Arabidopsis thaliana: one gene and its partners. The protein of the gene in region 1 interacts with the protein of each later gene in a pairwise test. Each region holds a gene or a part of one and is shown on either strand. Other genes may lie near its edges.

Region 1 (4,062 bases):
AACAGAAATTAAAAGGTATGCACGGGTTCGAACTATGAGGGAGCAAGTGAAGGAAAAGAGGGAACTACAGCAAGGTATGCACGAGGAAGAAGAAGAAGAAGAAGAAGAAGAAGAAGAAGAAGAAGAAGAAGAAGAGTGAAGGAAAAGAGAGAAAAAGGCCATTGGGCCCAGAGGTGAACAAGGCCCAATTAAGGGTGGGTCTTGGTTATTAACAAATTTCTAATTAGATTAAGTACAAGAACTACATAATGGTTGTGTTGTTGTAAGAAAACGATTAAGGAAAGTAAGAAGTAAAAAGAGTTTTCCAACACCTTTTGCTTCTTCATCAAACATTGGATTTTTTTCATGTTATAATCTCAACGATATAAGATTTCAACTGTACATATATACTTTCAAATTTTGATAATATTGTGGCCTCTCGAGGTCGAGTTCATGATCGGGTTATGCATAAACAATTGAACGGTGATTTGTTTGAACGTTGAATAAATATGATACAAATTTAATAAGAAACAAACTAGCAATTAATCGTTATATATATATAATTAAATTGTTGGTAACAGAATTAAACATTTAAACATGTTATTCATCTCATTCAAGACAAATTAAACAAATACATTCAAACGGATAACTTTGATAGTTAACAACTCGATGGAAATTTTACAGACATTGAGAATGTGTGATACATCAACATTATGTATTTTTCTTACAATTTTCGCAGGTAATAGCTCACTAGTTAGTGATTATACACATCAAGCATACATGCTAACGACCTAGATAATCTCGTACGTATACGGACTAAATAGTTAATCTAGAAATTTAGGAGTTACTGCAAAAAAACTAATCCTAGGAGGCAGAGTTTCCAACGGATAAAAAGTCGAAGAATGGAACATGACTTTCATGTTTGGTGTCCGAGTCACTGCGTTTGCTTTGACCTGAATCTTGATCTATAATCTCGCTCTTGTTTGAATCTGTGTTTACTTGTAGAAAATTGTAGAACTCCATAGGCTTTTTACTCTGATTTGCTGCGATCCAAACGATAAAAGAAGGACGAAATTATAAGCTATGTGGATTGCAACTATGTTAAATATATAGAGATGACTTCATGTAATGACGGAAACAATATATGATGATGAGTACAAGAAAAAACATGCAACTAATTTTGTCACATAATTTTGAAGTTCATTAGAAAAATGATTATGCAAATGAAAAAGTCGGCTAAACTCTTTGAAAAGTAAAAAAATTCGGCTAAACTTCATTTCAAAATTTTGGAACATATATACCTTTTTCATCAATAATCCGTGCAAGACTCATATACATGCAAACACATCTATAGAAAATGGATCCTTCTCCATCATTTTGAGTTTACCTTTGTGATTTAAAGCGATCTTTCCGGTGAAAAACTCCTTTAGGAAGTGAAGATGATTGATATGAGAGAATTTGTAAGGGAAATTTATAAAGTCTGCTGGAAATATTTTCTTCCGATCATCGGAACTATAATTATGATTATAACCACCAGAACTCATCATGATTTGTTCACTCGCCATTAAAGAAGAAGACGAAGTCGTCGAGGGAAGAAGACGAGGCTTAGAGGTTTGGCGTGTGCGACGAGCCATGATGACGTGCCAATGGTTCTTGACGGCGTTATCAGTTCTTCCAGGGAAAAGCCTTGCGATGATGGACCATCTGTTCCCATGGATCCGATGAGCCGCTAAAAGTCTTTCTTCTTCTTCTTCCGTGAAAGGGTTTCGGTTGATCCTTGGATCCAATTGATTAAACCATCTCAATCTACAACTCTTACCTGCATATATACACCAATACAATTAATTCATATGTATATATATATCAAAGTATCAAAATTAACCCTAGCTAGTTTTGTATATATGGACAAACCCTAGAAGATATCAATTACCAGAGCGACCAGGAAGCTTGAGAGCAATGGCGTTCCAATTGTGAGGACCGTATTGTTCGACAAGATCCTTGAGCTTCTCGTCTTCAGCTGGTCTCCAATGGCCTCGGCTGCACATGATCATTTTTCTTCTTCACGCCGATCTATTTAATTACGTAATTAACTAAGTATACCGATCCAAACCAATACAAGAACAAAGAAAAAGAAAAACACACAGATTCTATATCAATAACGCACGCAAAAAATTTGTTGTGTTCATGTATTTTATGTACATATATAAGAAATTAAAACCCTAAGTTTTTTTTTTCTTGGGAAAAGGTTGGGGAAGATGGGTATGTGGGAACAAGAAGAAAGCTGAAGAGCACCTGCACGTATATATATACATAGTCTATATTATTGCGAGTATATATATAATATACATTTTATGTCTTCTTCTTTTTTTTCGTCTAATATACATTTTATGTCTTTACCAAAAGAAAATATATATATATATATATATATATACATTTTATATGATGAAAATTAAAATAAAATAAAACAAAATCCGTTAGAGAGTCGGGAGGGTTTGGACGGACCTCTCTACCGGCGACTGATGCCAACGTCTTCCCTAACCAACAAAACACCCCCTTCTACGTAATCTACCTTTTTCTTTCCTTTATTTTACAACTAGGATTTTATTTAGTTATAATAATTATAGAATATATAATATCGTAGAAAATAAGAGCATAGACTAGAGATTGCTTGGTGTGGGCAGGATTTCGTTAGCCTCTCAACGTCTCTTCGTATAGTATTAATTTAAGGTTTGTTGTTTCTAAGTTCTAACCTACACCCGCTACTTCAAGCCACCAATACTCATCTACGTTTCTGTAATCTTGGCAAGCTACGTATTCACATATAATAAATATCGATATCCTACACTGACAAAAATTTATTTCATGTATCAAATATCGTCCATAATAATTAAAGATAAATATTTTCAGACCTAATCAACGTTTTTTCTAAGCCTTAATTAGGAATATATCGTCCAAAGTGGAGACAATACAACTAACTTTTTCTTTGCAATTTTACAATGGGTATTTTCTTATAAACTGTAAATAAAATAGAAGGTGTATACAATTGAATCAAGTGATGAAATATATTAGCAAAAATTTTATTCTCATGTGGTCAATCATTTTAGTCGTAAACAAATAAAAAAGGTGGTCAAATATTTGGTCTCCAAGCACGTCTCTCTTGTCCAAAACGGAACTTTATAGGTTTCGGACATTCAGGACTAAAAACAGAATCAGTTACATTGAATGTTCCGTGGGACTAATTAGAACATTTCTTCAAAAAAAAAAAATCTGTAAGCAAAAACCAAAATAATTGCTGGTAAAGTTTAGTAGGAAAATAAAATAAAACAGAGAGTTAGTTGGGAAAGAAAGCCAATAATCAACTTCATTTGTTCTATCGGTAGTTAGGAGAGAAGCCTTCTTCAGTTTCGACTTTCGAACCTATCATAACTAAACTTAACCTATTTTCGTCGCAAAATGACCTATTTCAACTAAACCGGATCCTGATTACACTAAACCGGTCAAATATTATATACCAGTGGGCTTTTTATTTTACAACTGTATGGGTACTTCATCACCAAAGGCTGACAGACCAACTGTGTCATGTCTTTAGACTTCTTCAGCAAGAGTTCCTGAGACTTGAACCTGTTACCAGAACTGAACGATGAACCGACACTGTTCTAGCATCATAATGTTTCAAGAATCTCACATCAAACTCGAGAATCAGAGAGCAAGAGCAGAAGATAAACCATAATAGTCATGAACCATAAGGAAAACAAGCCTCTCACATTGCTAAGGATCATACAAAGTTCGGCTCTATCTCTATGTATGCAATGGTCAATACAATGACTTTAAACGAACACGTTAAACATATTGTGAGCTGTGAGAGCCTTTTCAAAGAAACCAACATAACCATTAGACAATAGACCTGGATAGGTATCTTTGCTTTCGAAACCATGCTTATTGGTCCAGAATTAGAGAGACTGTGATGGATGAAATTTCACCAGGGATCATAGTCACGAAGAGCTCCTCTCTAGGCAACAGAATCATCGCACCACTGAAAATGGTTCTTTGTTTTAGTATGATGATATGGTCCAACAGTTTTCA
Region 2 (4,461 bases), on another chromosome or scaffold:
CAGCCGTCTCATCCATCGATTACGACATGCTGTGGCTGTGGGACTCATGTTCCTCTTTGTTAGGAAGTCTTATATAGTTATATTTATATAAAATCAAAAGCTGATATTGTTCGGATTGTTTAGTCTTGACTACTCAGATATTGAAGTGTTGTTACGGGTAAAATCAAGAAATGGTAAGTCTGAAGATGTTCCAAGACTTGAGGATATTTAAACATTGCCATGTTTAAAGTGAGTTTAGAGAATGAGAATGTGGTCCAACTTTATCATATCTTTCTATGAATACATGTATTTTTCAAAAGTGGTGATAAAATTAGTAGTAAATATCAAGTTTTCTTTTACACATTCCTAAGCAAAACGGTTTCACCCACTTGATCAAAAGCTGACAATGAAAACCTCTCAAAAAACCCAAAAGTAGAGTTTGGACTCCGGCTTTTCAGAATAAAAAGACTCAAGTGAGGTTTAGCTTCTTTACTTCTATCATCATCATCATCTCCCAGAAACGTTAGCCTCTATGTAATAATCGAGTCGGTCCAAATTCATTCATGCGTCATTTTGTATATATTTTGGGTGAAATTAAACGTAACGTCAATTCGTTGACAAAAAATAAAATAAACGTCATTTCTTTCATATTTATTCAAACTATGAAAACACTTGCTCGTGCTGTTGTTACATACACACATGTTCCTCGTTCTCGAATCTCCACGACCAACGAACCAACTGGGTCCCAAAAGTATAAGGCACGGAATATTTCGGGCGAAATTGTCACAAAACGAAACTACTGGGGTAAGTTAAAGTAAAATAAAAACATAAGGTCACGTTCGCTAAGTCTTTTTTCTTCTCCTCTTTATGACGACGTATCTACCGCCGCAACTCCGCCGCTAGTTTCCACGCCGATGCAGCGATTAGAGGTTTCGTTTGCCACGCAAGCATTAGGCTTCCGTCGTTCTCCTCCACTCTGTATCCATCTCCACCGCCAGATAACGCCAATAGCAAACTCGCTTGCTTAAACGCGTCTGATCCGAGGTTAACCGGGTCAAACCCGGCGGATCCCATACGTTTTCGCCACTGAGCCAGCGTCTCGTGTCGCTCGATCCTATCGCTTCCTTCCGTCGCCACCAAGTTCAATATCTGTCTCCCTAAGTAAACCTCCGACATGACTCGGTCTTGACTCGGTATCACAACACCATCTTCGAGCGAGTCGAACAAGCTCGAGTAATAGTGAAGCGCTTCGTTAAACCGGTCTAAGAAAACGTCACCGTTATGGTTCGCTTCTTGTTCCACCACTGTTACGAGACCCGGTTTAACCGCCTTAACCGTCGCTAACAGCTTTTCGATCGAACCGGGTTGGGATAAAACCGGGTGAAGCTCGAAAACCGAATTAACCACTAGAGTCTCCGATTCGGTTCGGGTCTCGAACATATCCGGTTCTAAATCGGATAACCTCTCCGTCGTTAGACCATTGAATTTGAATTCGACGCCGATGGCTTGAGCCAGCTGAGCTAGCTTCCAACCTAACTCTTGAATCCCTTCTCGATTCGACGGATTCCCAACGCCGGTGAGACGAAACGACGGTGGACCACCGGGTCGGAGAGCTAAGGCTTGCATTAACGCCGGCCATTGCATACCTTGATTAAGCCCTAGATCGATTACGTGTACGACACGCGACGTCGTAACAGCTTCTAGAATCGCCTGATTGGCCGTGAAATGAGCGAATTTCAGGTAGGGACACGAGTCGTAGAAGTTCATCTGAAGAATCTCTTCGAAGGAAGGATCAATGGCGGCGGCGGAAGGATGAATCCGGTAAATTCGACGAGCTAGGGCTTCGGCGAAGTAGGTAGCGACTTTCCCCATGGCTCCGGCTTGAGAAGCCGCGAGTAATCCCACGCGCTTGACGAGAGCATCCGCGAGGCTCAGATTCTCCAGCTGAACCGCCTCGGCGCAGGCCACTAGCGCCTGAACGAGTCTAACTCCTGTCTCCTCGATAAGCACCACGGAACGAGTTGACTCGCTGGTCACTGAGTCACACCAAGGACCGAGTCGAATCCTCTTGTTGCTGTTACTATTGCTACTGCAACACTCATCGTCGTCTGTGATTGGTCTCAGATCGCAAATCCGGTTCGGGTCAAGATCCGGGTAGTAATTAAGATCCGAGAGCATGCTCTGAGCCCAACCGGAGAGATCAGAAGGATTGTAATGAACGGTGTCATTGAAGGCATTACTAGAAGAGGCAATATCATTGGACAAGACCATTTCAAGCTGTTCAAGCTTCTGTGCAACATCTGCCATGTCTGAAGATCGAACCTTGTAACCCAAAACAGCAAGAAACTCGTCCATGTTATCGTCTCCACCACCACCACAACCATTTTCTAACTTCTCCACCATTGAAGGAGCTTCTTCTTCTACAGACGTTTCTTGATGGCTTCGTTTCATCGTCAAGAAATGGAATTTTTTGGTGTTGGAATTGGTTAGACAGAAATTGTGGAAAGAAAGGAGAAGAATTTAAACAGGAGAAGGTAAGAGAGGAGAGTTAGAGAGGTCCAATGAGGGAAGTGAGGGACCTGGAGAGTGTAAGTAAAAGAGATAAGAAGGAAGAGAGGCAGGCCATTATAATTTCGCATGTGTTTTCTTCTCTATTCTTTCTTTTCCAAATTATTTCATTTTTATTACTATAACTTTATTGAATTTCTGATCCAAGTTACAAAAAATTCGTCGCTCTGATAAGGGCGTGTAGTTTTTGTTTAATGGTCCAATGGACTGTCATAGTCTATTAAACTATTTTTTAATACCCACTAAATGTTGAATTTAGAGTTTCTAGAATTATTAAATTGGGTGCTGCAGTAGATATTAGTCATATCATATGACCTATATTGATAACCCAAATAGTTCTTCTCGAGAAATGGAACTTGTAAACTCCGAAAGTAACAGCCCGTTTTCTTCAAGTATCTTGTTTCTATAACAAAATTTTAACTAGTTAACGTGACATACTGTAATAATTTTACTGACAAAATTTGATATTTATTTTTTTAAATGATACTATCTCCTAATAATTTGTTTGCCGAAATGGTATAAAATAATACTAATTTTTAAAAAAGTTTGAGAAGAAAATAGAGGTCCCGATAGAAGTACAGCTCAAAGTATTGCAGTTAGGGAGACAACGTGACCAACCTCACGGTCGACATGTGGCGGCAGTCGACATTAGGTATCAGACGTCTACAACATTACGTTGCTTTCTTATTATTATTATGTTTTCATTTCTTTATGTGTGTAAATTGAATTTTATTCCCCATACCAAAAACATCATTTTAAACATGATAGTTACATATATAGAAGATTTTTATAATAGAGTAGAACTGAACATAAAAATAGATTTCACTCTTGAATTAGTTTGTTGGTCTAAGTACAAATGGCTTATTATTTTCCGTTTTGTGAAAATAATGTATAATCCTGTATAAAATAAAGTTTCGAGTAATTTTATATGACTTAGCGAATGAATACACAAGCTAAATATATTAGTATATTACCCTTCGTTCGTTGATATATTGGCAATTTTGAGGGAAACAAATAAATGACGAGACTATTTAATGGCCGGATACGTTTTGAAATGTTACCCAAGTTACTTTCTCGACATTTTAGGCGGATGATCCATTGACTAATTATCCTCTTAATTATTCGAACAATAAAAAAAACTACACTATCCAAAACGTGTGGTAAGAAGATATTTATCCACAATGTTCCGTAAATATCTCATTTATTTACATTTTGAAACCTATCATCAAACTAAGTAACCAACCCTGAAATATTTAGTCAATTATCTTACAAAAGAAACTCAACAAATCCCCTATCATTGTGACAAAAACCCTTGATTTCACTCTCTATATATACTTAATGATCTTCCTAAAACACAGTCACAACGAAATAAGCATGGCAAAAGCAATCGCTTTAACTGTCTTTTTGTTCTTATTCTTGTCATTAATATCTCTAACCCTAGCAACAGATTATCCACTATTCACAAAGTCTCGATGGATCGTAAACAACAAGGGCCACCGCGTGAAGCTAGCTTGCGCGAACTGGCCTTCGCACCTCAAGCCAGTGGTAGCAGAGGGGCTGAGCAGCCAGCCAATGGATTCAATATCGAAAAAGATAAAAGACATGGGATTCAATTGTGTTAGGCTCACTTGGCCACTTGAATTAATGATTAATGACACTTTAGCCTTTAATGTTACCGTGAAACAATCATTTGAGAGATATGGATTGGATCATGAGCTTCAAGGGATTTACACTCACAATCCATACATTGTCAATACTCCTCTCATCAATGTCTTTCAGGTATAAATACATAATTAATCATGTGATTCTAGTATTACATAATTTCTTCAACTCAAACAAAAACTATTCTTTTCATGTTCAATTAAAAATCCATGGTTTTTAAATAAGTCATTTGTGACTGAAAAATATGACTAA
Region 3 (3,067 bases), on another chromosome or scaffold:
AAATTACTTATTCACCACGTTTTCTAGTGGGGTTCGACGGATTAACTGGAATAATTTAGTAAATTTTACGTTTGAAATGATTCGATCCATATATTAAACCTACAAAAAATTTCTCCTCAGTGAAAACCACTACCGCTTGGTTGCTTTTTTAAAAAAAAAAATCTTGTATAAACAATTTCATAGGTAAAATTGAAGCGATCGATACAGAAATCGCTAAGAACAAAGCATGAATATTTTGTCATCTATAAATGACTTGCTCAAGAAGACCAATACCATACAGAGCTTTTATTTGAGACATAAAGAAAGTTTATGATATATAGAAACGAAAAGGAGATGATGGTATGCAACAACCACTATATATACAAAGAACCTCATCAATAGTAATTTGTAGGGTTTCTTGTTTTTTGTCGTATCCTCGTATCCGAGTCCAATCTGTGTATTCCGCTTCGAAAACTCTTTTTGTGTTGGTTTCTTATTTAGTCAATGATATAGTATTCTAGAAAGTCAAGATCACACATGTGAAGTCAAGAGCAAAAAGGAATGCACGTGTGTGTTTTGAGCTGGCAACTTGACATTGACGGTGATCATTATTAACGTTTACTTTCTTTACCTTTTAGTATAAAAAGCAACATGTTATGTTCATGCTTTCTTATGCGAATAATCTGGTTGTATTTTATTTCTAGAGACTTCTAGATTTCCCTCATCGTTTTACCGAAGCTCTTTCGTCGAGACTCTTGTAGGTGAGAAGTTGATATCGCGTTTTATGAACGTTATATCAAATTATCGTAATAGGAATACTCTGTTTCGGTTCTCTGCATTTTTACTTTGTTTTACTCATTATTCTGTTTACGTTATCATCAGTGAAACATGAAATTGAAAGCAATTAACTGTCTCATTTTAGTTAACTAAATTTGTCTTGAACTGTATATAATTAAATCAAAGAAAAAAAATACAAAATATGAAAGTGATGACCGGGGATATTCAAAGGGAGACTCTCATAACAACTTGGTATATGAATAAAGACTTAAAGCACTGGAATATGAGTACCTTGTTTCCTTAATTATTGACTCACTGTTTGTACAGAAACCAAAACCAGCACTGCAAATGAAATATATCTTAACAGAACAGAAATAACCCCCAAAAATATTTCAAAAAGCTCGAAAACATATGGTTCCATTTTGTATAGCGTTGCACAATGTAATGCTAAATCAAAAGAGTAGATTAGATATATAAGATAGAAAAAAAAAAGAGCAAAAAGGATAGAACAAAGTATTATAGATAGAATGTCATTGGGCAAAATTAATCCAAGGACTGATACATACAAGTATACAACCATCGTATTAACCTATGAAAAAGTATTGCAAAATATAAAATGATTTTTAAAACAATGAAATTACACCTATCCAATTGTTACGAATGAAACTCAACTTTTAAACACTAAAAAAATGTGTATATTTGCAGTCCAGATTACAAAATAAACCATTATATAATAGGATCCAACTGTATTTTGACTTAAATAAGGTAGTTGAAAATATCTTGACTAAGAAGTATATTTGGTTTACTCGGTGTCAAGACTAATAATAATTAGTAAGTAGTGTATCGAATAAATATAGCAATCGCTTTTGCAGAAAATAAATATCTACTGAACAGATGTATCGTTCTCAAAGGAAAAAAACAACACTAATTGGTGCCGCGTATCTAAAGATTTGCATGGGACCATATGTCTAGTAGTCTAGTACCATATAAACCTTTTTTTGCTTACTCGTCAGTAGTTTCTTTTGAAATCTTCACAACACTTTCAACACTTCTCAGTGACCGTGAGCAACGAATTATTTTCAGTTCAACGACTCCGCGGAAATGGAAAATTCAGAAAATGTTCCCTCTTACGATCAAAACATCAATTTCACTCCTAATTTGACGAGAGATCAAGAACATGTGATCATGGTCTCTGCTTTGCAACAAGTAATATCCAACGTCGGAGGTGACACGAACTCGAATGCATGGGAAGCTGATCTTCCACCTTTGAACGCTGGCCCTTGTCCTCTTTGTAGTGTCACCGGCTGCTACGGTTGCGTCTTCCCACGACACGAGGCGATAATTAAGAAGGAGAAGAAGCACAAAGGAGTGAGGAAAAAACCATCAGGTAAGTTCTATTCTAATACAAGCTTTGAGTTTTTCTAGTACTAGCTAGTTTTAGTTCATGTATTTTCATATATATATAAGCCACGAGCCCATGAGGTAAACTATGTTCCAATACGTTAGCATGCAGTTGATGTACTTTCATAAACCATCAGGTAAATGGGCGGCGGAGATATGGGATCCGAGTTTGAAAGTAAGGAGATGGCTTGGAACGTTTCCAACAGCGGAGATGGCGGCTAAGGCTTACAACGATGCGGCGGCTGAGTTTGTCGGAAGAAGATCAGCAAGACGTGGCACAAAGAACGGAGAGGAAGCATCTACCAAGAAGACGACTGAGAAAAATTAACGGAGAAGGAGCACGTATAGAAAGGCAGGAAGAGGCATCTTACTTGCTTCACAAGTAAATCAGAATTTTTTTGAAAAGTAAAAACGTTATTTTGTTTGGTAATAAAATAAAGTAAAACAAAATATTGCTAACGCAAGACTTATCAAGTTCAGTCGTGACTGTGAGTGTGTTTTTATGTATCTTACTTCATTTTTTGTCTTTCAATTGTGTGTGTGTGTGTGTTTTTTTTTTTTTTTATAATCTATTTGGTTTGGGTTTATTGTGACCAATGACAAGAAAAGTCTATATTTTATAGTTAGACGTATTATATATATCATGAGATAATATACAAGCAAACACAATTGTAAGCATATATAAAAATCAATCAAGTTGTTATGATATTTATGATAACTTTAAACTTTGATTAACAAGAAAGGTAATCCAATAGTAATATTTGTCATACGGTGCCGTTTCACTAATAAATGGGCTTACGTAATACGGACCAACACAAAGTGACGTGGTTTCATTTTAAAGGTGTTACTTATCGTCGCCAATGAGATATTGTCAAGGCCCAGGCCCATTTGCTTGTATCCTCGAGGCAGC

The links. The genes of interacting proteins can lie anywhere in the genome.
Region 2: the proteins of MYB54 (region 1) and RGL3 interact in binary tests that used the Arabidopsis thaliana proteins (3 or more experiments, as listed by UniProt).
Region 3: the proteins of MYB54 (region 1) and AT2G20350 interact in binary tests that used the Arabidopsis thaliana proteins (3 or more experiments, as listed by UniProt).

The regions. Positions count from the first base shown.
Region 1 is NC_003070.9:27,599,820-27,603,881, reverse strand, and holds MYB54 (myb domain protein 54), read right to left. Parts: upstream 2,290-4,062; 5' UTR 2,031-2,289; coding exon 1,910-2,030; intron 1,799-1,909; coding exon 1,367-1,798; coding exon of another isoform or gene 1,308-1,366; exon of another isoform or gene 1,023-1,307; coding exon 844-1,022; 3' UTR 565-843; downstream 1-564. UniProt on the Arabidopsis thaliana protein: Transcription factor that regulates secondary cell wall (SCW) biosynthesis, especially in interfascicular and xylary fibers.
Region 2 is NC_003076.8:5,763,458-5,767,918, forward strand, and holds RGL3 (RGA-like protein 3), read right to left. Parts: upstream 2,790-4,461; 5' UTR 2,431-2,789; coding exon 859-2,430; 3' UTR 532-858; downstream 1-531. Other genes in the region: AT5G17500 (Glycosyl hydrolase superfamily protein), read left to right, coding at 3,922-4,326. UniProt on the Arabidopsis thaliana protein: Probable transcriptional regulator that acts as a repressor of the gibberellin (GA) signaling pathway. No effect of the BOI proteins on its stability.
Region 3 is NC_003071.7:8,782,912-8,785,978, forward strand, and holds AT2G20350 (Integrase-type DNA-binding superfamily protein), read left to right. Parts: upstream 1-1,857; coding exon 1,858-2,143; intron 2,144-2,294; coding exon 2,295-2,485; 3' UTR 2,486-2,536; downstream 2,537-3,067.